Oreochromis niloticus: one gene and its partner. The protein of the gene in region 1 purifies or fractionates together with the protein of each later gene. This does not show direct contact. Links are inferred from orthologs where the notes say so. Each region holds a gene or a part of one and is shown in the gene's direction. Other genes may lie near its edges.

Region 1 (12,864 bases):
AGTTTGTGCTTTGATCACATTCCTTCAGCAGCTGTATCGCACTAAAAACATACCGTAAATAAATCTGCCCTCAGTGTATAAGTAGTTCAATGTAGATCTTTATTGAAATGTCTGTTAGTGTTTCTCGTGCTCAGGTTCTTGTTTTTTCTCCCTGATGCCTCGTTTTCTTTGTGACTCTTTAAATCAACTATTAAATCTCGTCTATTGTTCAGATATTTTTGTTCCTGCACTTTGCATTTGGGTGGCACATCAACTCTGTGAAGAGATTTTGTTGCAGTTTTAAAAGCCAGTCCCACCAAGCAGGAATGACAGAAAATCCATTGCATCTTGAGAAACTTACTTTAGAACCCGATGGGCCTTCAGGACCCACTTCCCCTGGTGGTCCTGGTGCTCCCTGCAAAATAAATACACACTTACTCATTTATAACCTACATAATCCATAACCTTATATTTCACTTCTCAAATGAATCAAACAAAAAGCAGTCATGTATAAATCAAAAAGGAAGCCCCCACACTGTGTGACTGATCTGCAGGTCAAAGCCAACCCACTGCCGCTGAATAAAAAATACAACAGGATTAACATCGACGTTCATGTCTTTCATGCCATTCGATTCTCATGCCTAGCTCGTGAAACAACAAGGTTATACTGACACTGTGCCAGTAGCACAGAGGAGGAAGAGTGCTGCTGTGCGGCCAGGTCGCTGCACTAATCCCATCACACAAAGTCTGTTCCTGCAAAAGAATAATATCCTGCAAGCCTGGATTCACAGCTTTACATAGCCCCAATGGTATCAGGATTACCCATAATCCAATATTCACATTCCATTAGTGCAAAGACGAATAAAAGACAAATTCCACTTCCATTTTTCATATTGAAGAGAATACCGACTGTCGGATGTCGACTTTTCAGGAGTCTGAGCGATGAGTTTTGAAAGTAATGGAACTTAAATTTTGACACTGAAAAATAGAAAATTGCTTGTGATTGAAAAAAGTCCAAATTCATTAAAAATCTGTTGTCTTTAAAGATAAATTATACCATCATCAAATCAGTGGGTGACAACTCAGTGGCTCCATCTTGTATAAACAGTTGGTCTGGTCGCCTTCCATGAATTACATGGACATCTTTTTATCCTCTCATTTCATGCATTCACATGTGTGTGAATAATGTAGACAAAAAGTCAGGAAAGCTTCACAAAAAATGTGGGATTTAAACCAAGGCCCATAATTGTCACAATTCAGTATAAAACAAGACCAGAACTGAGACCGGTGGCCACTCTTACCTGTGCTCCTTTTGGTCCTTGTGGGCCCGGAGGACCCTCTGGGCCCTGCAACATAAAACCTATGTCACTACATGGACAAAGTCTGGGGTGTTTACTGAAACATCTCAGGAAAAAAATGACCATACAGTGTCACCCTTTTCCCCAGGAGCGCCACAGTCTCCTCTGTCCCCCTACAAGACCACAGGACACAACGTTAGACCCTGCAGATATTTTCAGAGGACATCTTTCAATAGTGAGAACAGAGCAGCTGAAAGGTCACAGTCACTCACCTTGTTGCCTTTGTAACCTGTGCGGCCCTGCAAACGATTCAAACAGGTTCAAAATCGATGTTTCATCTCTTAACATGCATGCTGTTTGGCAGTTGTGCAAAAACAAGGGACAAATCTACTTTCTTACCGGTGGACCATCACTTCCAGGTGTGCCATTCAGCCCAGGCTCCCCCTTTAAACAGAGGCCCACTAATTAAACACTGAAATATTTTAGAAAGGCTTTCTTTGTGTCACGACTCACCCTCGCTCCTTTTTGACCAGCTGGCCCTCTGAAGCCTGGGTCTCCTTTTCTACCCTGCAAATATTACAAGTGTTAAGATGAAGCAATGATTAAGCTGTAAAGCTAATAGTGTTTTCCACGTATGAAACTCATCAATGTTTGGTTTCTGAAAACTCACAGGACTTCCTGGAGGACCTCTCTCTCCTCTTTCACACAGACATACTTGGGCCTGTGGACACTATCAGAGCGAGAAAAATATTATAAAGTCAGTGCAACCATTAGCCGTACTTAAGAGATGTTGACTTCCATTTTAATTCTTACCCCTTCATATGCAACTGCAACCTGTGAAAAAAAAACACAGAAGATAAAAAAATATGTCAGTTACGTCCATCTTTTATCTACAGTCTAAGCCTGACTCCCACTGAGGAATGGTACTAATTGCTTGGCAGCAGATGTGTCCTCTACTTTAAAGTATTTTAAAGTCAGTACTTTTCCCCTTTACCTTAAGACCTGTTAAAGTTTCCACTATGATCTGACTGGGTCCAGGTGACATCATAGGTGAATCCAAGCCTTCTGGCGAATGCTTTCATGGCTGTTTTCTTTTTTTTGTGACCACACTGACGTGTCTTAAGCAACACTACACACCAACTTGTCTTTTCTTTTTCCATTTCTGCAAAGTGTACTTGGAAGAAATGTAATGGCATTGCTTGTCTGTGTTGTCAGCAGCTGCCCATGTCTGTAACTTATAACAGGATATTTTTATCCTATCTGGATAAAGGATCTAAATATTTCTGTTTGCCATGAACTATGTAAATAATTTTTTTGTGATTTTCAGACTTGTATGTAGTTTTACTCTTCATGAAATACTATCTGCAGGACACTTGTACTTCACAGAACCTGAAAATCGTCTCTAAAGCTGTGTTTACATTATTATTTCCAGTGAACTAATCCCAACTGGTTTTTGGTTACCTTGTGACAACACATATAGAAAGATATAAAAACACAATACGCTAAAAGACAACTTTACAACAAACAATGAGGATTTGACAACTTTGGGCTTTGGGCACAAGATGAAAACTGAAAATCTGTCATTGTTAATGATGACATTTCATGGTACAATTTTTAAAGAACAATAAATCTAATCATGTGAACTCAACCTAAGCTTTTGGGGCACTTGGGTATGGGAGCTGCCTCAGCATAGCAGGTACGTAACCTCTATAAGTTCTATAAGTTCTACATTTGATAAAACTGGGTACTGTCCTCTGTCATGTAGCTGTCTCTGTTTTGGAAGTGCTAAATGTGATTGAATAAAATCGCACATTAATGAAAAGCAGAACAAGTCGTGCCAGTCTCTCAGACTAGCCGTGACCTCCTGCAGATATTTGACATTTCTGGGTGCTGTGGAAAATGCAAAGCAGTCAGGAAAACACCCTCATGCAGACACAACTCTGTGACTTGAGACGTGAACCCGCTGTGAGGACAGCATGAGCATGAACAAGACTAAACAGAGGATGATCTCTGTAGCCCACTTCCAGACACAGCAGCTGATGTCAATAATTTTAGGAGAGTATGCGGGATGTCAGATACCTAAGTCATATTCTATTAAAAGGAGCTGCTGAATTATAGGTATCAGTAGTGCACATTTGTGTTACAGTGACAGCATCCACATTCTGGTTTCATTTTTTTTTTTTTTAATTACAGTTAAGGTGATTTTCAGGATTGTTAAACTCTTTCAAAAAAGGGAAATTGAGCAATGTAGCACTAAAACATACATCAAAGCAAAGGTTAATTTCTTCTGTTTGTACATAAACCTCTAATCTGTCAAACGCTAAACTTTTAGCCTCTTTTAACATCAACCAGGGAAGAAGTGACTCATTTAGGGCTTGCTGTGTTTAAACTTCTTCTTTAGGGGCCACCACAGGGGTATTTAGAAATACCCTACACCTGGGCGACTCTCTGATAAGAGGTTATAAAGTTTTATTTGTTATACTTTTATAATATTTGCCTGTCATCCACCCAATGCCATAAAGCTACCATGCAAGCAGTTTGCCTGATAGTTCTAAGATACTTTGACTTATGATCTTTTAGGGTAGAAATGCTCACCTTGTGTTTAGTGCATCCTCTGCTCTATTTACTAAGAAATTTAACCACCCAGTCAATTTAAAATAGATTGTTAGCTACACTGCAGCTCTTGTTAACACTCTTCTTTGCTGAGGGCACAGTCAAGAACAAAGATAGCCCTTAATGAAAATTCATAAACTTTTTCTGTGAGTGGTAAAAGAATTCAGGTAAATTAGGTGAAATGATTGGTTTAGTCTTGGACTTTGAGGTTTTACTATATCCTAATTTAGAAATGTTTAATGTGGAGAATTGATTTATTTAATATAAATTTATTTATTACATAATAATATTATAAAAACTTTCTCCTGTATTGTCTTGATGCATGCTCAATCACCCAGGCACCTTATCGCAAGACAGTTATGGATTCAAACTTTCCAGAGACATTTAAGTTAGCTGTATGAAGATGTGGCATAGATAAGCCTTTGAATAGTCGGTAGAACTCGATAGGTACTACACAGTCCCAGTCCTTTTCCAGAACTTTCAAACTAAAACAGGAAGTAACCAAGTAGCTGTGGTAGCACTCATATAGTATATTTTTTGTTTCTCTGGACTGAATCTATAGTCAGCATCTTTATAGTAAGCGTCTTTTTTGCCATTCAGTAAGCTTTGTCAGGCTCTTCAATAACTGAAGTTTATTTTCAAGCACGACGTTTTTCTAAAAAAGCATTTCACCACTCTGATGTTTCTCGACTCTGTACTTGCACCTCTGTGCCTGAGCTCATTTTACGTGAAGCCAACACTCACCATCTCTTTGAGCAGCTTCTCTTCCAGCTGAGAGTCGAGCATACTTTGGACAAACTGCTGAGCAGGTGTGCTGGCGATGGCCCGGAGCTTGGCAATATTCTGCTGGGCAATATCTGATAGCCCAACAGCAAAGAACTTTATGCCATGACCCTTGGCCTCCACAGCAGCTGCAATCACATCAGGGTTACGGGGATGATCGACTCCATCTGTCATTAGCACCGCCACCCTCACGCTGTCCTTTGAGGTCTCATGCACCAGCAGCTGTGAGGCGTTGGTGATGGCGTAGGTGGTATAGGTGCCGTGACCGATGTAGTTCATGGTGCTGACTTGACCGTGAAAATAGTCCAGGTCTTTCCAGGCTGAGAATCTGTGCTCTATGGACACAGTGCTGCTGTACTGCAGTGCAGCCATCCGCACCTTCATCGTCCAGCCGGGTACCTGGAGCATGGCGAGCCGGGTGCTGAAGCTCAACACGAAGGTCTTCTGTTTCTCAAACAGTGATATGGTTGCGCTCTCAGAGCTGTCCAGGATGAACGCCACTTCCAGTGAACATGTCAGACCTACTTGAGAAGGAGATCACAAAAACTCACATGAAGCTAGAAGTATTAGAAACAGGACTAATTTCAGGATTGGCACTCTGACTCCTTTCTAACTTCTTTCCACAAATTCAGTCCCTTCTGCCAGCAGTCGGTATGTATCCATGTACACTGTCAAAAGTGCTCTAATGTCTCGAGGAACACATCGAACAGCTGTGGGTTCAAGTGTGATCATTAATTCATGAAATATTCTGGAATAAACCTGATTCGGGGAAAAAACCCACTCCCAAATTCCTAATACCAGATGCCACAGGAGACCTATAAAGGTCTTGTGTCCTGAGCCGTTTTGGCAGCATGAAGGGAAGCTACACAAATAATAAATACAGAGACTTAATTTTGTGGCAAGTCAGTGTAAGTGCAGCTTGTGGAAAAGTAAAGCAACAGTTTTGAGTAGTTCTACATTACTAAAACTGTCAAGTAAAGGCTCAAGGACCAAGTGAAAGACCCCAAATTGTCAACTTCCAACCTTAGAACTTACAGTTACTTTAGTTAAAGTTCCTCACTTCAGTTGCAATGGGATCAGAGTTAATGGTGTTTGTTTTTGTACTAAATGAAATCAAATTGCCACATGTATAATCCATCCATTTTTTTTACATTTAAAAAAAAAGGCACTTAAAGGAAGGCATCGTGGGTGGATGACTTAAGAACTTCTCATGTAGTTTTATTTTAACTTAAAATTTGATGACTCAACCATTTCATTGGCCTGATTTCACCATCCCTCATTCAACAATTTGTTCTGTCAATGCAACATAGTGACTTTCACCACCAGCATGTGGAGACCTCATCTAAAAATTACCATTTCTTCCCTCATCTTGCAGCCTGTAGTTGTTCCTGCGCCCTGTCTTTCTCCTCTGGCCTGTGGCCTTGTGTAGGAGAGCCAGCAGCAGAAGGCAGACCCCGACTCCTCTGCTCAGGTTTCCCTTCAGCAACATCCTAACAGAGAAAAGAGGAGAATGTTAGGGGGGAAAGCAGTGTATGCAAAGCACAATGAGTTATTTCATCTTTAACAGGATTCCTTTTACTATCATGGACACTGCTAACCACACCCAGTTGCAGATCCCAAAAAAGGGAGCTGTGTTCTGCAACGGCAGCAATTCTAATGGTATTAATTTGCTTAGGTGACACCGTTCCTCCTACTGATAATGCACTTTCTCAAATACTTACTATATTACAGTGCCAACAATATGTAAATGTGTGTAAAACCAGAATAATCTGTGCAAATACTTTTCTGTTAACAGGTTACAAATGCTGCAGAATCTAAACAAATATAAAGTTAAAGCTGCCAGGTGATTGAGAAAAGGTCACAGCAAAGTACCTAGTTTGCAGTGCAAATACTGAAGTTGCCATTCAAACTGTGACACCACGAGTGTCACTACTTTGTAAAAAAAGTTTTAAAAACAAAGCAAAGATATCTTTTTTTTTATTACCTCGAATCTCATTTAGCTGCAGCCAGTGTTTGTAGTCCAGTCAGCTCTTTGAGAGGCATTTCTCCGCGGAACCCCGGGTCCCTATAAACCAGACTGAGATAAACTGAGGACCATCGCATGAGCTGATGTGCTGTGTGTGTCAGAGTGTTTGTAGCCGGGGGCCCTCCCTGGTGCCGCTCCAACATTTTAGTCCAGTGCAACGCTTCATGCCTGACAGAAGGGATCCCGTGAAACTCTTTTGTGCACATTGAGTCCATGCACTGGAATCATTTAGATTTTTGAGACGCCAGATAAATAGCATTTGCAATAGTCATCACTCCAAGTCATAAATAATGCATCTAAAAACCACTGCCAACATAAAATAAAGCAGACTACATTAGTTTGCAGGGATAAAATAATTTTAAAGTATTTTTTTTCTCGGCATCTTGTTTTCCTTAACAAACGTGTCAGTTTTCTGGCTATCATGGGTTGATTACTAAGGAAAATGGTTCTGCAAAAAATCCCAAATGAATTTCTTTCTCTTGCATTTTCCACTCTCCCCCACTAATGTGAAAAGCAGATGAATTGTGGTAGTATGATACTCTTGTACCGCGCAGAAATCGACCTCATTTCAATAACATTGTCAGTCCGACAACTCAACTCTTATTGCTTAAATACATTTAATAAATTAATTAACTTAAATAGTCATGATCTGAAATTGCCTAATTTCTTATATAAAACTGGCTGATTTCGTTGACTTCTTTTCTCTTTTTTATTCACTTAGCACCCTCTGCTGGTAAACCTCATCTTTAGCGGAACATGAAGTAGCTGACGTTGCTAATAACACGGACATGTTTTGGTGTAACACACAACATCCGCTTTGGCTCCAGGTTGCCCCTGGTCGACATGTGTATTTTAAGCTGTATCTCGTGCGTTCCTATAAGTCGTCTTTGTTGTGTTTATGTAAGTAAAACCTCTTCTCGAAATGCTCAAACGGATGTTTTCGACTGCTGGTTAAACTGGCGCGAGCGAAACGGTCACGCGCTTGCTCTCCCTTTACTTGTTAGCATTAGCTTAGTTTAGCTAGCATGTCAACAAACTTAAAAGTAATACTATAGCTGCCCACGGCAGCTTTTTAACATGCTGGGCGATGAATTCAAACCAACTGTGCTACACTTCCACACAGAATTTAGGTTATATTGACGGTTTGGTTCATTGTATCATTACTTTAACATGTTAAAAGACTTCTCAGAACTGTCTGTTGTCCACGTTGCGACCACTGCAGTCGGAGATGTGTAATATTTCTGCGCTGTCTCTGACCTTTGTTCATGTGCTCGTTTGTGTGATATTCTGCCGTATTTTCAGGCTGGAGAGGTTAAACTTCCCTGAAAACCTACTAGCTTCTGAATCATGAGCGGTTCCAAGCCCGACATCCTGTGGTCCCCCCACCACCCGGACCGCTACGTCATCTGTGACTCTGAACTGGGACTGTACCGGATCGGACCTGTGGGCAGCGCAGAAGCCAAGGCTGGCACCCTCCCACTCTCCGAGGAAACTGCTGCTACATTACTGGCCATCAATTCTGACACCCCTTATATGAAATGTGTGGCCTGGTACCCCAAGCACGAGCCGGAGTGTTTACTTGCCGTTGGCCAAGCCAACGGCAGGGTTGTGCTTACCAGCTTGGGCCAGAGCCACAACTCTGCATGCAAAGAGCTGGTGGGGAAAGAGTTTGTGCCCAAACATGCCCGTCAGTGCAACACTTTAGCTTGGAACCCTGTGGACAGCAACTTGTTGGCTGCTGGGTTAGACAAGCACAGGGCAGATTTCTCTGTCCTCATATGGGACATCAGCAGTAAATTGTCCCCAGAGACCAGTGTAGCAGCTGAGAAGATTCGCCTTTCATCTGTCGATTTGGACTCTAGCACAGTGGTGACCAAGCCGTTGTATGAGTTAGGCCAGAACGATGCTTGCCTCTCGCTTTGCTGGCTGCTCCGTGACCCAAAGCTGTTGCTGGCAGGCATGCACAGGAACCTTGCGATATTTGACCTGAGAAACACGAGTCAGAAAACATTTGTAAACACGAAAGCCATCCAAGGTGTGACAGTCGACCCGCACTTCCATGACCGCGTGGCCTCTTTCTTTGAGGGGCAGGTGGCCATTTGGGATCTGAGGAAATTTGAGAAGCCTGTGCTCACGCTGACTGAGCAGCCCAAGCCACTCACAAAGGTAGGATGGTGTTTGTTATAAAGAAAACTAACCAAAGGCCACAGTAATAAGGATGCACTAATATACTAGCTTTGTGTATTGGTCATGTTAACTTTCAGACTTCTGCATTCCTCATTTAAAATTTCTATCATTTATTAATATCTACAAAGTTTGTAAGTTCAATTTTAGTGAAATAAAGGTCAGCATGACAAGTGGCTCATTTAAAAATAAGTGATAACATATGACATATCTTATTTTCATACAAGGCTTCTCATCTGGCTGTGACTCCTTCTGTGTCAAAAAATGTTGTGACATAATTGTATTTTATAACCCAGAATTTGAAAATACTTACTCGAGGAACTACAACCATGATAATGAGTGGGTTTAAAGTTGATTCAATTGCAGTTTAAAAAACAACAAACAAACTGTGTTTGTGTTTTTTTTTTTTTTTTTTTTTTTATCTCTGAAATTTTCATGTGGTTATCTCCTTTTCTGGAAATGCTGGAATTTTTTTTTACCAAATTCAAAATTACAGTGTGTCTGTAACTTGACAAATATTTTCTTACTATTACGGTACAATTTGTTTTGGCTGCATTACATATACTAAAATTATTGTACCAAAAAAGAAGTCAGCTGATTCTGGCAGGGTCAGGTGGGAGGCACAGATTGATTTTTCAGGGAATAACCTCTGGTCATTCCACGCCTCTTCAGCAGTTGCTCAATGCCCCACATTCTGAGAACCACTGGTCTATTAGAAAATAAGATGTCAGCTTGTTTGCTTGTTTGTAACCCGTCAATTTTAGATTGCCTAAATCAGGGGTGTCCAACTCCAGGCCTCAAGGGCCGGGGTTCTGCAGGTTTTAGATATCACCATGGGTCAACACACCTGAATCAAATGATTAGTTCATTACCAGGCCTCTGGAGAACTACAAGACATGTTGAGGAGGTAATTTAGCCATTTGAATCAGCTGTGTTGGATCGAGAACACATCTAAAACCTGCAGGACACCGGCCCTCGAGGCCTGGATTGGACACCCCTGGCCTAAATGTTCAAAGACAGAGTAATGAAATGCTCAAATAATTTTAAACTCTTTACTTGGTCTTTGTCACAAAGACCTGTTTCATTTAAATGAAAAAAGAGGTAATAAATGATATCAAAAATAAGATTAAGATGCATTAAAAATGTCACATTGTTATTTTAAAGGTTTATATTAGCTCAGGGTTTCACAGTCAGGGCATGCTTATTCAGTAGAAGTCTTTTTTTTTTCCACTTTTTATTTTTTTATAGCTGATAAAATTCTGCTTTTTGTTCTCAGGTGGCATGGTGTCCAACCCGTACTGGCCTACTGGCCACGCTAACGCGTGACAGCAACATTATCCGCCTGTACGACATGCAGCACACTCCCACACCCATAGGTGATGAGACGGAGCCCACCATCATTGAGCGCAGTGTGCAGCCCTGTGAAAGTCAGATTGGCAGCTTTGCCTGGCACCCATCCTCTCAGAACCGCATGGTGGTGGTGTCAGCAACCAACCGTGTCATGACTGACTTCACGGTGTTTGAACGTATCTCACTGGCATGGAGCTCCACCACCTCTCTCATGTGGGCGTGTGGTAGACACTTGTACGAGTGTGTTGAGGATTCGGCGGAGGGAGTGGAGAGTATGATTGAGAAAGACATTGCCACTAAAATGAGGGAAAGGGCTCAGTCCAGGTACGGACATGATACCGTCCAGGTGTGGAGGAACCATTTGCTGGCGGGTGGGAAGGATGCCCAACTTAAGTCTTTATGGCATGATCTGTTCTATATCCTTTCAGGTGATGAAATGGTGGAAATATCTGCACGATGGCTTATTGATAATCTGTTTAATGGCAGAGAAAAACAGTCAGCCACCTGTTGAAACTGTATGCAGGTTATTTTTATTACTTTACAAAGCAGAAGTGAAGTGCTTCATTGCTCCGATGATGGTTCTCCTCATTTGAAGGTTTCTCCTCTAAAGACTTTATAGAGTAGATATTTATATCATTATTATTATTATTATTATTATTATTATTATTGTTATTATTACTTCAAAATGTAACCTTTCAAATTAGTTCAGTAAAGAATTCAACGTTTAAAAAGCTTATCATTAAGACTATGAAGCCTATAATGGGCATAATAACACCTTTTATGTTATTCTTATTTAGTGTGCAAACACGAGAGCTTTCTTATTGAACGTTTGGCAAGAAAGTCAAAAAGGATTCTAAAATTACTCCCAAACTGAGTCATTAATGTTGATTCACTGATTAATTAAGTTTTGAATCATTTTTGGTTGCCTATAAATACATTGAATAGTTCTAAACATCCTCAGATGGTGACAGATTAAAATGTGGGGCAGTGTTTGAATGCATCTCACTGGCGTTATGTCCCACCTGCGCCCCCTGGTGGGATATAACGTCACTGCAGGCAGTGCTTGAATAACTAAGGAAAAATGAATGAATGCAAACGATTTATAACCATAGTAAAAATAACTTAAACATATTAACACATATAACATAATACATTATTTACTTTTGTCGTTGTTCAAGTTTAAAATGATTAATGTTGTAGTTGCCTTGTTATGTGCCTGTATTATGTTGTGTGGACTGCACACTGTTACAGTTCCTATGAAAGTATCACATATGAAACAGTGTGCGGAGGATATGGAGCTAAAACTTCAGGGGAACGTACAGTCTGTGGTTTATTCTGGGATTAAGAACATTGTCAAGACAACCTCAGGTAAAACAAATAACCAACTGATTGTCTGTGCCACAGGACACTTCACAGTAACTGTGTTTATTTGAAATTTCATACACTGAAAAACTGACTTCCTGTGTTTGTCTTTGTGGTCCCAAAGGGACAACCGAAAGCCGCAGGTGTTGGATTGGCTCGGACCGGCAGACAGATGTGCTGCGGTACCACAGTGAGGAGCGCTGCCTTGCCCTGCGGCTCTGTGGCTGGATCAGCAGGGGAACTGACACAGATGTGGAGAACTTCCTGCGATCACTGGAACAGGAACACGAGTGGGAGCGGGCAGCTGCTGTCGCTCTGTTCAACCTGGACATCCGCCGGGCAATCCAGATCCTCAACAAGGGAGCCATGGCAGAGAAAGGTGAGAGCTTTTAGGGACGAGAGGAAGGCGAGAGAAAGTAATTTGATGTAAGGGGAGATACTTTAGACAGACTACATAACTGTACATGTATCAAATATATGTAATTGTAATTGTTTGGTCTTTAAAATGTAAGAAAACAATGATCAAATCCTAATCACAGCTTTTCTATTGCTTCCATGTTGGCTTGTTTAATTTGAACAAACAGTTATTGATGAAAATTGTGTTCTACATCAAGCAATCTCTTGAAAAATGAAATGGAAGTCTTTGAAAAAAGGGGAATTTCATTAATGTAACAGCAGGAATCACATGTTTTTTACACTGAAGTTTAATGAAAATGGAGAGAAATGGCTGCTGTTTACACACGCCTTAACTGAGGAAAAAAAATTACACAAATGTAGGTCAAACGCTTTTCTGTTGTGTGCTCTAATAAGTGTTTCCTGAGTAAGACTGACAGAGTGATTCATTAGATAAGATGTGTCAACAGAGCCATCTCAGGACTTTCAGCGTTGCAGCTCTGACTTACAATGTATTGATTCCAATGTACAACCTTAAACCAACATTTTGTTATACCAGAGTAGTTCAGTTAGGTATTTTCCGAGCCTCACCCGGTCATATATCTGGAGGTAATAATATGTAATAAAAACTGTGCTGTATAGAGATTTCTGTTAGGGTTTATGATAGGTCTTACGTTGGGAGGCAAAGTCATTAAAAGTTCTTTTATTTAGCAAGAAATTGCAGTTTAAATTTGAAATAAAGCCCACAGTATGACAAAAGGGATATGGAGCTGGTTTAGGATAGGTTAGCCTTAAAAAATAAAAAGTAGGACACTTTTTTCCCCCTTCTAAGCAATAAAATCATCACCTTGAACAGCTGCCATAACCTTTTTCACA
Region 2 (12,845 bases), on another chromosome or scaffold:
CAGAGCGACGCAGCTGGAAAGCTGCACCTTAACTCTGTAAATAAAAAAGACACTTAACAAACTGTAACGCTGTGGTTGTCCGGTCCTTCACTGTTATAATCTATTAATAGTAAATAAATAAATTCATTAAAAAATGAAACTTGACATACGGTCATCACAAGCCTCGAAAAAACACTCAATTAGCTCAGCCTAAAGAATCCACTGTCAAATATTCTTTAGAATAACTCAATGACACATAAAAAGCTGCAGCCTTTGTATCTATGCTCACTGTTAGGTTAAGGCAAGAGTAACAATCATCTATTTAGACTTAAGCTGACAATAGTAGTGAGCAACACTTTCCAATGGCTATGGATCGAAAAGCTCAAACAGCAGTTTGAGTGTATAATAAGGCCATGACATTCACCCCTGTCAGTACCTGACCGAGGTGAGCATGGTGTTCCATTCCTCCAGAGGAATTTATTCAACTTAGAGAATTAATGCCAGGATTGAAACTGTTCTCATAACACATGACTGCCCACCAACTTACATTGTTGTTTTTCATAATTTGTAATTTTTCTCGAACTGATGCATCATGTTCAGCATCTAAACAAGCTGACATTTGCTTGTTATATGGGATTAGTTTTGAAAATGCTTGGTGCTACAGGAAATGTCACAACTTCCTGAAGAGAACATGAACGTCTGTACACAACGTTACTGATTGCAAAGAGGATCCTGATCAAAATCACAGATGTTCAAAACACAACCTCATCTGACAGATGTTAATGAGGAACAAAAAAAATATGGGTCTTGAGATTTTGCAGACATGACCACTAACTGCCAGACATTCAGTTGTTAGCTTATTTGGACTGTCATGGTGACAGTGTAGGATCAAGCGAATAAGGCCCCGGTCACACAGGCTTAAAGACCTGTCAGTGACCATCTGGCAACCTCCGGGTCATGGAGGAATAATGAGTTTACCCTGACCGATTGCAAGTGGTTGCTGAAGGCTGATGGCAGTCGCTGGGAAAATAATTGTTAAAGCTGCAGCCACACATGCCTAAAGACCGGACTCTGACCCCCTGACAACCACCTGTTGCTAGGGAAAAACATGTATTCTCTGACTGGTTGTCACAAAACTCATTGTGATCGCTTTGTGTTACAGCATGTTGCTGTGATCATAGTTTGAATGGTAGTGACAGACCTGTCTATAAACTAGTGCGAATAATTCAATGCTTCATTTAACGCTTGGCTCTGAAGCATGTGTTAAACGATGTAAACGCAAGTGTTTCCCCCTCATTTGCGACTAAAAACAGTCCTACAATAGATATATTTCATCACAGCATCCCTAAAAATAACTATAATAATAGTAGTAATGATAATACATTTTAATATTATTTTCTGGCATTGTCTTCTAACGCTATATTTTGCTAACTCCTCTAAAACTGCCCAGCGTTGTTGGTGTCATGATGTCACAGTGCGCTCACACAGAGGCGTTACTGCCTCAGCAGGGCAGTTTGTCATTAAAGGACTAAATAAGTCTGTCGTTGCTGCAGCAGAAAGAAGATGGAGAGGCAATTTCATAACACAAATGAGTGATGCAGATTTAAAACACACTTTAACTGAAATATAGCAAAAGTGCAAACTGTTCTGATAATGCAGGGGCGATGTTGTGACTTAGAAAGTGTCCGCTTATTTTTATTTGTTCTCTAAATAGCGTCAAAAACGTTAGCTAATGTAGCCTAAATCACTCAAGATTATTAGCTAATTTTAGCTTTCTGAGCCATTAGTCTGCTGGTATATCGCTAGCTGCCAGCAAAAGGGGCTGATGTAGTTTATTATTTTAGTTTGTTATAGATGTCTATTCCTGTTCTGCGCTTCATTGTTTGTCTACACTACAGCTCCAGATCCAACTGAGAGCAAGTCAAAAGGAAGTCTATGTCCCGTAGCAGCCCGTATTCAGTCTGAATATTGTTATAAACATGGATCAGTTTATGCCTTTTATTGCTTTGCAAACTCTGTTTCACTGTTACATTCAACTTTTGGGTGACAGCACAAAGTCTCAGAGAGGAGCATTGAGAGGGAGAGAAAGGGAGAAAAAGAGAGAGAGAATAAATAAACAGGCAAGAGTGGACATGTATATTTTAAAGGGAGTGGAGCTTCTGTTTTGCCCATTTTCTTTGATGACGATTTTTCCTCCTACTGTCGAGGATGGTTCTTTCCGGGTACTCTGGTTTTCTCCCACAATATAAACACATGCAGTTAGTGGGGTTAGGTTAATTGGTGATTCTAAACTGCTCATAGGTGTGAATGTGAGTGGGAATGGTTAGTGTTGCCAGTGTTAGTCCTGTGACAGTCTGGCAACCTGTCCAGGGTGTATCCCACCTCTCGCCCTATGGCAGCTGGAATAGACTCCAGCCTCCCCGTGATCCTGACAAGGATAAGTAGGGGAAAATGGATGGATGCATGGATAATTTTACATTTGTGTGCTTTCCAGTAGCACACTTAGAAATGTCAGTGGACGTTCTAAAGAACATATTTATTGATATCAATAGTAGTGTTGGACAGGATTCACTATATTAATGTGACAAACTATAAATCTATTCTCCACTCTTGAATTTGCAATAAGTTTTACACAGTCAAAATCAGAAAGCCTCCAGAAGTTGTATTACAATATGCAGATGAACTGTTAACTTAGTCTGATACCAGACTGGTTCAATTATACAGCGTGCTGAAGGCTGACGGCATTTGATACCTGCAATAATATCACATACTTTGCTAATTAAATTGCAAAAATATTTAAAAAAAATAAAAATGAAAGCTTTTTTCACAAGCCAATAAAAATGCACACGGGCCATTAAACTCTGATCCACTGACCTGAGGGTTGTTAGGTGGAACACTGAATTATAATTAATATTAATTATTAAAATCGACACTATCATAACGTCTGGATTTAGCAGCACAAAAACTTGCCTCCTTTTAATGTCAGAAAGCTTTCCAAGAAAACAGAGTAAAGGTACATTTTTATGCCTTAGTCTAGACTTCATATATGTCTTATTTTATTTCATTTGAAAATATAATTTAAATTTTACGCCTGAAGGGCAACAACGGCAATCTCTAAAGCAACCACAGCAATAACTTGGCGCTTCCATGCAACCAATTTCACCCAGTGAGGGTAGAAATCTCCAGGAAGAACTGAGAACCAGTTGGGGGAATACACATTTTTCCCTAGCAACCAGTGGTTATATCACAACCAATGAGAAACCTCAATACACTGCATAAATTTCACTGGAGTAATGAAAAATTTGACTCATTGTCAGTGTATTAAGACCCAAAGTGAGGGGGAATTCATTAATAAGTTAAACAGCCTTTTTCCTGTGGTGTGCCTTATTGGAATTCCACTCATCTGAAAACTTATAACACAAATTTCTACCTGAGGCAGTGTCTTCAGCAGGCTAAGAGAAATGGCACCAGACCCACATCCCACTTCCAGGCACGTAGGCTCCATCTTATCAGGCACGCCCATCTCAGTCTTCATCTGCAGATCATTGAGCACCAGCTCGACCAACTCCTGCATCAGCAAAGACGAAATAAAAATCACATTTTGGCTTATGTGTGATCATTCGCTGGGTCTTCACTGTGAACATGCGCTGCCTCGACTTTTCTTCTACCTCCGTTTCAGGTCGTGGTATGAACACAGGAGGCCTCATCTTCAGCGTCAGGTCCCTGAAGTCCCACTCTTCAATCACGTACTGCACGGGCATCCTAACCCACACATGAAACCATGTAAAAATTTTCATTGAAAATCATTTAAATGCATATAGAGAGATCTATGCACAAACTCACCTGGAGAGACGTCTGGTGCAGAGCTTCCATATCTGCTCTGTTTGTTCTCGGCTGAGAAACTCTGTTAATCTCTCCTGCTCAAGACTTTCTATCTGGATAAAGAAACGCTATGTGAACTTGATCCACGTTTACTGCATGTCAGTGCAAGTGCTGAGGCAATGTAGATTCAGCAAATTACAGTTTTAGCTCCGAGAAGATGAGCAATGATGTACTGGCTGGACAGCTCAGGCTCCGTCACAGCTCTCTCCTCAAAGTGCCTCTTCCATAAGTTCACCGCCTGAAGTGGTGTAATCCTGCCTGCGGGTAAGGCTGGAGCGCTGCATGTACGGACAGCATGGGACCTCCAAAGTACCTAAAAGCATTACACTTAGGATTTATTTTTATAGCGAGCATTATTGCCTTTATTTTGATAGTGAAGCAGTGAGGAGTAGAAAGGAAAGAAGGGAGAAAGGACGAGGGAAGGCACGCAGTAAAGGGCTGAGGGTTGAACTCAAACCCAGGCTGCTGAGTTCCGAACCATATGGCACATGTTCACCAGCTCAACCAGGGAGCCAAACTGGCACCCGTTACATTAAAGTTTAAATAAAATTTCCAAGTATCCAGAAACCAACTGCGTTTTTTTAACACTGATGTTAGACTCCCATTCAGCATCTCCTCTGGGGAATTTCCGGCAACTTTGGAAATCATCATGATTTATTTACACCACTCACAATTACTCATAACATGTGTCTGACTGACAAGTCATAATTAATTTTCACTTCCTCCCTATAACCGCGGGGTTAATAGGGAATCTGTAAGTCAAGTTAACTTACATTACTACATCTCCACACAGTTTAATGTAATCCAGTAAGAGAGAACTGTTATTATTAGTTACTGTATGTATATGGACAATAATCCTTTTATTTATTTATTTGAGTTATTTAAGCTTATATAGTATTTATTTAGTATAGGGTATAAGATATGTGTCATGATAGATAGATAGATAGATAGATAGATAGATACTTTACTGATCATCACTTTACTGATCCTGCAGGGGAAATTACTATGTGATAGCAGGAGCATAAAGAACTATAACCTACAATAAAATTGCTTGAAAGTACCACAGGCTCATAATAAAGGCCTTATAATGTGAAGTAGTGCAAAATTTTATATGCAACAGTGATTTAAAAAAAAATGAAGCAAAAGAAAGACAAATAAATACAAAATAAGGCTGGGATTGTGCAAACAATAAATTATACTAGCATATAATAGTGCAAACGGCTTCAATAAATAGCAAGTACAATTTCAAATCCAGCAGACAGCAAGCAGCAGGAAGGTTTGATACTGATAAGTCTGAGGAATGCAGACAGGTGTGTTCACCTGTCAACAAGCAGGAGAGCTTTTGTAAAGCTTTATCGAGAACAGCAGGAATGTTTTCCTGAAGTTTCCTAAAGGCTTGAGTCAGTCTGAGCTCTGCTGCCTCTGTAATGTGTGTGCCTGCCACTTTATTTTATTAAAAAGAAGATAACAGAAAACAGATTTGGTCCAGTTGCGTCAATGGAAATCAACTGATAAACAGTTCAAGAAAGTCATGTAACTTGGTCTGTGCTTACAGGTGCGTCAGTTTGTAATGTGAGTAATATTTCCAGTTAGCAAGGCAACGGAAACAGGTTTGGACTGTTGGTTGGTTTTTAAAGCCGTGACACTGACATGCTTTTGTTTGTTCAACACGTTGGACGCAACGTGTCGACTTCCGGGAAAAAAAGTCAAAAAAATAACTTGACCAGTTACCTTTGGTCCACCACTCCTGCACCCAAAACATCTGTAGTAGCTTGTACTCAGCGACCTTGTCCACATGGTTAACAGTATTAAGTCTTTACATCGTTATTCATTGGGTTTCCGGAGTCTGTGCGCTCTCGGGCTGAACTCGCTGCATGGCGGCAGTAGTCGGTTAGATCAACATGCTACACTTTACGGCCCTGTATGAAATTCAAACATTTTTCTGTGTCGGAAAGCTAACTAGCGGGGCTCGAAATGTGTCCTGCACGCGGCACAGAGAGCGGCTGCGGCGCAGTCTGCGCAGCGCTGACGCTACTGAACGACGTTGCTTTCACGGACTGTAAAACATATAAAGCATTGCCGTCATAGACGTTAAGTCTGTAAAGTAAGATGGTAAAATAGCATCTATAAATGTAAAAGTCATTAGCAAGTAATAAAAGTAGTATTACATTTGGTAAATACTACTATTCGAAACCTTTAAATTGTCTAAAAGAGAAAATTTCCTTAGTGTTGTGCAATTGTTCGGGGCCCAATACTTTAAAGCGTTTTTATACGACAACAGAGTTCGTGTTACTTTTATATTAATTTTAAAACATTATTGGTGCTACATACATACGACTTCCTCTGTCTTATTGTTGCCTTTACAGTTTTTGCAACGGCAGTTTTTATTCCAGGGCTAAGTTACTGGGTGTCCCTGAACGCGATATTATTGTTGTTCTTCCCTGTCTGGTTTTTGCATGCATTGATGTGTCGAGTTATTGAATAGTTTGATGCCTGGGTGACCATAACCTCTGCTTAATACATTAATAACAGATTTTATAGGGCGTCTTTTAACTTTAGACCTGCTTTTAAGTACCGAAGGACGTCGCTAGCTTGTTTTTAAACGTTAAAGCTACATGCTAGCTCATGCTGCTGTAAATAAACTGGGAAGACCCAGAGGAAACACACAGGAGATACCTTGTTAACGCAATTTGGGGCAAGTTGATAGGGCTCAGCAGGGTTTACACACCTCTGGATTAGTTCTCCATGAGGATAAAATCTATGATGGGCATGCCCACTCGAATAGAGTGTATATTTTTCAGTGAGTTTCACCCTACTCTGGGACCCAAGATAACATATCAGGTAAGTGTGCAGATGGTCTGGTAAAGTAGTTTTATTTTATTTTATTTTTTTTATATATCCACTGTCGTTATGATTGTCTTTATAACTGCCCCAGTTGCGAGCTTGTTCGTGCCCTGGGTGTGTTTTAAACGTGTGAGGCAGGTATTTAATCCTTCATAGTAATTTGGCATTGACGTGTACTCTGCATAATCCGTCTGAGCTCATGTATCTTATTGGGTATAGTTTGTCATACTGTGTCCTAACAGGTTCCAGAAGAGTACATCTCACGGGAGCTCTTTGACACCGTTCAGGTTTATATCATCACCAAGCCAGAGCTACAAAACAAATTAATAACAGTGTATGTAGTCTTATCCTGCTCGTCTGTCTCCCTGCCTTGTTTGAAGTCCTTAGTATTTAAATAATAGTGTATTAACTTAATAAACCAATCTCTCTTTTTTTAATCATAGCACTGCAATGGGAAAAAAGTTAATTGGCTGCCCCGTGTGCATCGAACATAAGAAATATAGCCGAAATGCCCTCCTGTTTAACCTCGGCCTTGTTTGCGATGCCCAGACCAATACTTGCGGCCTGGAGCCTATTGTTAAGAAGCTATCTGGGTACCTTACAACTCTGGAGGTAAAGAGTATCATATTTTCACATGTTCATGTGATCGCTTTCTTCAGGATGATTTCTTAGAGATTTTCTGTCTTGTTGTGTTGCAGCTGGAGAGCGGCTTTATATCCAATGAGGAGAGCAAACAGAAGCTTTTACCCATTATGTCGACTTTGTTAGAGGATCTTAATGCCACAGGAGCCTGCAGCCTACCCATTGGTATTATTTGGCATCTTACTGGCTATAAGTTTTATCTGTGGCAAGGAGCAGTATATCTTTTTAATATATAGCTGTGGTCACACGTTTACACACATTCATCATGGGCATGAATGTCATGGTAATTTTGGACTGTTTCGTTGAACTGTTCTTTTTTCCGGGGTGGAATTATTTTAAATCTTTAATGACTTAAAAAAAACAAGAATTAGAATTTATTTTGGATTTTCTCTAATCCACACAGGGTCAGAAGTATACATACAGACTCAAATATACACATTCACTTAAATCTTTTAATAAGTGGTGCTGAAGTTTCTACAATGTCTTTTAACTCTCCGAGACTAACTTCTTGTTAGTGATCATGATTTACACGTTTTACATGATTTTCCTGGTACTTTCTCTTTTCCAGCATAAAAACGCTTGTTTGACATCACCCATTAGATTGGCTAATACTCAGAACAATGGGTATAGGAAGGGAAATTATAGATTTCCCTTCCACAAGTTTGACTGCAGATTCCAAGATAATCTGTTTAAACAACTACATGTAAGTACAATGTATTCTGATGTGTCAACACTCTGCTGAAGTCTGGAAGATTGTCAACATCACATGAGAGGAAATTGGTTAGGATTTTCAGGAACAGCCCAGGAACCACCAAGGCTCAAAGCAGCCATAAATAGGTGCCGACCAAGAAAGAAACCCCTGCTCCATAGTTGACAGCTGCCCACACAGATAAGCCAAATGCCTTCTGGAGAAAGGTTTTATCGACAGATGAGACCAAGACTGAGCTACAGTACTGTAAAAAAGTACTTGCTCCCTTCCTGATTTGTCACATTTACATGTTTTAGATCATAAAATAAATTTTAATTGTAGACAAAGACTAAAGACCTGAGTAAATACAAAATGTACACAGCGTTTATAACTGAATCCTGTACAGTCTGTGGGTTTCAGGCTGTGGAGGTCCAAAGTTCAAATGTGCTTCGACCTCCTACCGTCTACTTTTATAGCTAGATTAACGCAAATATGATGTTGTGTAATTAAAAATCAGTACATACAGACGCTGCAGAGACTTAAAGCTGTTATCCGGGTAAAGTTGATTACTCCATCAAATATGTCTTGATGCATGCTCAATCATCCAGGTAAGTAAATCCCAAAAGGTTGATTCTGTTCATCTGGATGTAGCGTTTTCAATGGAAGAAATGTTTCGTCATTCATCCAAGTGACTTCTTCAGTCTCAGCTGACCGCAGGTCTTTGATCAATGGGCTTTGATCAGTGGTTGTTGATCAATGGGCAATTTGCATATTAATGATCAAGGAACTGACCTCAAGCCCATTGTTCATTCAGTGGGCTGGTTTCAGTTATTGTGCAAATGTACTGTTTATAAGGTTGGGGAAACCTGCAGTCAGCTGAGACTGAAGAAGTCACTTAGATGAGTGACGAAACGTTTTTCCCATTAAAAACGCTACATCCAGATGAACAGAATCAACCTTTTGGTACTCCATCAAATACATATTAATATTAGACAATAACTAGAGTAAATACAACATGCATTTTTTAAGTACATTAAGGATGCCTGCTGTATGTCCATTCCACCCTAGAAAAAGAAAAGCTCAGAGAAATCTTTAAAAGCCCAAAACTGTAATAATGTCCATGTACTTAGTAATACTGTGGCATGTGCTCTGTTACTGTGCTGCAGATCATACTGAAAGGATCATAAACTATAGAGCTGCAGCTGCTCTACTAGACAAATCATGTCATTACAGCATTTCTAAATGAACTCAAGCATCTAGAATAGAATAGGATAGAATAGAATAGCCCATTATGTTCATTATACATGTACAACTAAATTGTGAGTCATCCACACCAACTGTGCCGGAATAGAATAGAAATAGTAAGACAGTAGGAATAAATAACAAGCAGGAGAAATATATACAGGACAAGATAAAAGCTGATGAGGCTTACTCAGGCCATGGCTCAGATTGGTTGGTTGGTTGGTGGGTGGGAGGGCAGGGGTGGGGTTGTGTTTGTCAACAGTCCGAATGACCCAGGGGAAGAAACTGTTTGTCTGGAGGTGGGGGACCTGATTTACTGGAGGTTCCGACCAGAGGGCAGCGGGTCAAACAGGGGTGGCGGGACACAAAGGGTCACCTGTGATGGCCCTTGTTTTCCTGAGACAAGAGGATCTCCAGGAGTGGCAGAGAGCAGCCACTTATTTTGGGGGCAGTATTAATTACCTTCTGCATAGCCTTCCTGGTTTTAGTAGTTGCCCCTGCGTGGCAGACATCCAGGCAGTAGGACAGCACACACTTTCCACTGAGGAGAGCTTTGTTATGCATTATGTTCCCTAACAACAAGTTTTCCAATATCTCTGATAAGCCCTTATCAGCCAACCAACATGCTGCCTGGGCTATGGTCCAAAGTGAAATTATGTGGTTGTTTGGATTGATTAGTTAATGTAAGTCAAGACAAAGCAGTGCCACTATGCAAGCAGCTTTGCTCTGACTGTTACTCTTTTTAGAAATTCAGAGATGGGAAATGCAGGCTGATGTTTCTGAGTCAAATTTTATTTTAAGAATTTACCAGCTGCACATAGGCAGTATTCACATGTTGGTTGGCAGCAACAGATGTCATCAAACGATTTTTTTTTAAACCGCTCTTACTCTTGTTTGTTGTATCCTTTTTAAGATGAGTCTAACACCATTCATCTAAAGCTGATCCAGCTGCGAAAAGACCCCCCAATAGTTCAGGAGTACGACGTGCCAGTCTTTACCCAGTGCAAAGATCATTTTATCAAGTCTCAGTGGGATCTCACCACTCAACAGGTAGGCTTTCAATGTCAACAACCTCTGGCTGCAGCTCTTGAGAGGTATTTGATAGCACTCTAAGAAGTGCTTGGAAGAAAGATCAGTGTTTAAACACTTGTTATCAGCTGTGCTGGAAGTGATATAAGCACGTTTTTATATCCTTTGTTTTATGATTTGAAAGAAGGCATTAGTGCAAGACAAGATGCTCTTTATTGGTACAATACTGTTTTATTGCTTTTATAAGTTAACATGTTTACAGCATTTAGTTAACCAGTAATGCAAATAGCACTACGTGCCTCTAACCCTTATCTATTTGCTGCTAACTGCAGATTCTTCCCTACATCGATGGATTTAGACACATCCAGAAAATTTCTGCTGAAGCAGACGTTGAGCTGAATCTTGTTCGTATCGCAGTGCAGAATCTCCTGTAAGTATTTTTCAGCAAATACAGTTGTACTCTTCAGTAACCTCACACACGTACTGCTTCATCACAGAACTCTGTTTTATGTCGTTGTTTTGATTAACTGATAAACCAAGTGTGAACACCTCTGTAAATGCAGAAGTTTTAATAGTTTCCTGCTCTGGACCATTCAGGTGGGTGCTAACACAATCCCACAATCTTCCCAGGACCTCTTGTAGGTTAACATCCCAGCAGATTCACTTCAAGGTCAGGCCGTACAGTACTCAGAGAAACCTTAAACACACACACACACACACACACACACACACACACACACACACACACACACACACACACAAGAGCTCAGTTGGCATGTTAAAGTTCGTGACAGCACAATTAGAAAAAGACTGAAGAAGTATGGCTTGTTTGGAAGGACTGCCAGGAGGTAGCTTCTTCTCTGTAAAAAGAACATGGCGGCACAGTGTAGGTTTGCAAAGTTGGATCTGAACAAACCACAAGACTTCTGAAACAATGTCCTTTAGAAAGATGAGACCAAAAGTGTTGACATTTAACCAGAATGCACAGCGCTGTTTGGCAAAAACCAAACACGGCATATCAGCACAAACACCTCACACCAGCTGTCAAGCACAGTGGTAGAGGGGTGATGTTTTGGACTTTGCAGCCACAGAATCTGGTGACCTTGCAGTCATTGAGTCAACCATGAACTCCTGTGTATCCCAAAATATTCCAGACTCAAATGTGAGGCCATCTGTCCCAAAGCTACTGTAAAGCTTGGCCAAAACTGGGTTATCTGACAGGACAATGATCCAAAGCACAGCAGCAAATCTGCAACAGAATGACTGAAAAATAAAAGAATCAGGATGTTGCAATCACCAGTCAAAGTCCAAACCTGATTGAAGTGCTGTTGTGGGACCTTCAGAGAGCTGTGCATAAATAAATGCCCACAAACCTCAGTGAATGGAAACATTATAACACAATGACGCGAGAGACTGATAAAGTCATAGAGGCAACGATAAGCTGAAGTTATTGCAGCTAAAGGTGGTTTTTCAAGCTACCGAATGAGGGGGTGTACTTGCATTTTCACTCTGTAGTCAAAATACACTTCAAAAAGATGTAATTACTTCTCTTTTTAACTTCACAGGTACTATGGTGTTGTGACTCTGGTGTCAATTTTCCAGGTATTAAACTAATCTCACATCACATCACACATATATGAGTGTAGTGGAACAGTTTATCAGGGACCATTAGGGCCGTCTGCGGGATGTTAGTTTTAATTGAAAAGTTGTAATTTTTTTTCATATTATTCCTTCTTTATTCTGGAAATGTTTTTTTTTTTTTTCTGTTTTTGTGAAAGTGGATCTTTTTGTGCAGAAATAATAACCGTAAAGCAAGCATCAGTTCTGAAGGCCATTCTGATAAATGGGTTCATGTATTTCAAAAGAAAGTCAATTTATATACTGCACATTGCTCTCTATGCGCCACTTTGAATACAAAATGTTAGGGCAGGTTTTTTAAGTGAGGGAAGGCTCTAGTTTTCTGATATTCTGCTGTGAAAAAATTAAAGTTATTTAAAAGTGGCTAATACTTCCTGATGACTTGTTCTGGTTGCCTTCTTGTCTTTCTCTAGTACTCTAATGTGTACTGCACCACCCCAAAAGTCCAGAGCCTCATAGATGACAAGTCCATTCAGGAGGAGTGCCTTAACTACGTCACTAAGCAGGGTTAGTTGGGGTCATGTCCATTAAAACACAAGTGTTAATCTTCATTTATTTTGTGACGTTAACTGTGCAGCTTTGCCCTGTCACTGTCAGGTCAGAAACGCGCGAGTCTAAGAGATGTGTTCCAGCTGTATTGTGGGCTAAGTCCGGGAACAACAGTGCGAGACCTTTGCTCACGCTACTCACAGCAGCTTCAAAGGGTCGACGAGAGGTTAGCGTCGCTCAAATTATCAGTTCCTGAAAAGACTTAGCGCTCCTATGAATTCAGGTCAGAGTGGCACTGGCTCATACTGTATGTGTGTCACGTCACTTGTTTCTCCTCAGGAGGCTGATCCAGTTTGGACTAATGAAGTGTCTTATTCGACGGCTGCAGAAGTATCCCGTGAAGGTGATCCGC

The links.
Region 2: the proteins of mios (region 1) and nprl2 purify together in Homo sapiens (affinity purification with western blotting; 3 studies listed by BioGRID and IntAct, with this or other methods). This does not show direct contact. The link is inferred for Oreochromis niloticus from reciprocal best matches to the Homo sapiens genes MIOS and NPRL2.

Annotation. Positions count from the first base shown.
Region 1 is NC_031976.2:33,236,885-33,249,748, reverse strand, and holds the start of mios (GATOR2 complex protein MIOS), read left to right. Parts: upstream 1-8,009; 5' UTR 8,010-8,046; coding exon 8,047-8,865; intron 8,866-10,159; coding exon 10,160-10,649; intron 10,650-11,502; coding exon 11,503-11,601; intron 11,602-11,719; coding exon 11,720-11,974; intron 11,975-12,864. Other genes in the region: col28a1b (collagen, type XXVIII, alpha 1b), read right to left, coding at 341-394, 1,281-1,325, 1,406-1,450, 1,550-1,576, 1,677-1,721, 1,791-1,844, 1,948-2,007, 2,091-2,111 and 2 more. UniProt on the Homo sapiens protein: As a component of the GATOR2 complex, functions as an activator of the amino acid-sensing branch of the mTORC1 signaling pathway. The GATOR2 complex indirectly activates mTORC1 through the inhibition of the GATOR1 subcomplex.
Region 2 is NC_031970.2:17,679,311-17,692,155, reverse strand, and holds the start of nprl2 (GATOR1 complex protein NPRL2), read left to right. Parts: upstream 1-6,281; 5' UTR 6,282-6,606; coding exon 6,607-6,702; intron 6,703-6,924; exon of another isoform or gene 6,925-6,947; coding exon 6,948-7,039; intron 7,040-7,148; coding exon 7,149-7,317; intron 7,318-7,403; coding exon 7,404-7,512; intron 7,513-10,190; coding exon 10,191-10,327; intron 10,328-10,638; coding exon 10,639-10,736; intron 10,737-11,871; coding exon 11,872-11,908; intron 11,909-12,357; coding exon 12,358-12,451; intron 12,452-12,541; coding exon 12,542-12,659; intron 12,660-12,772; coding exon 12,773-12,845. Other genes in the region: hemk1 (MTRF1L release factor glutamine methyltransferase), read right to left, coding at 3,410-3,547, 3,648-3,741, 3,823-3,914, 4,001-4,174, 5,593-5,658. UniProt on the Homo sapiens protein: Catalytic component of the GATOR1 complex, a multiprotein complex that functions as an inhibitor of the amino acid-sensing branch of the mTORC1 pathway.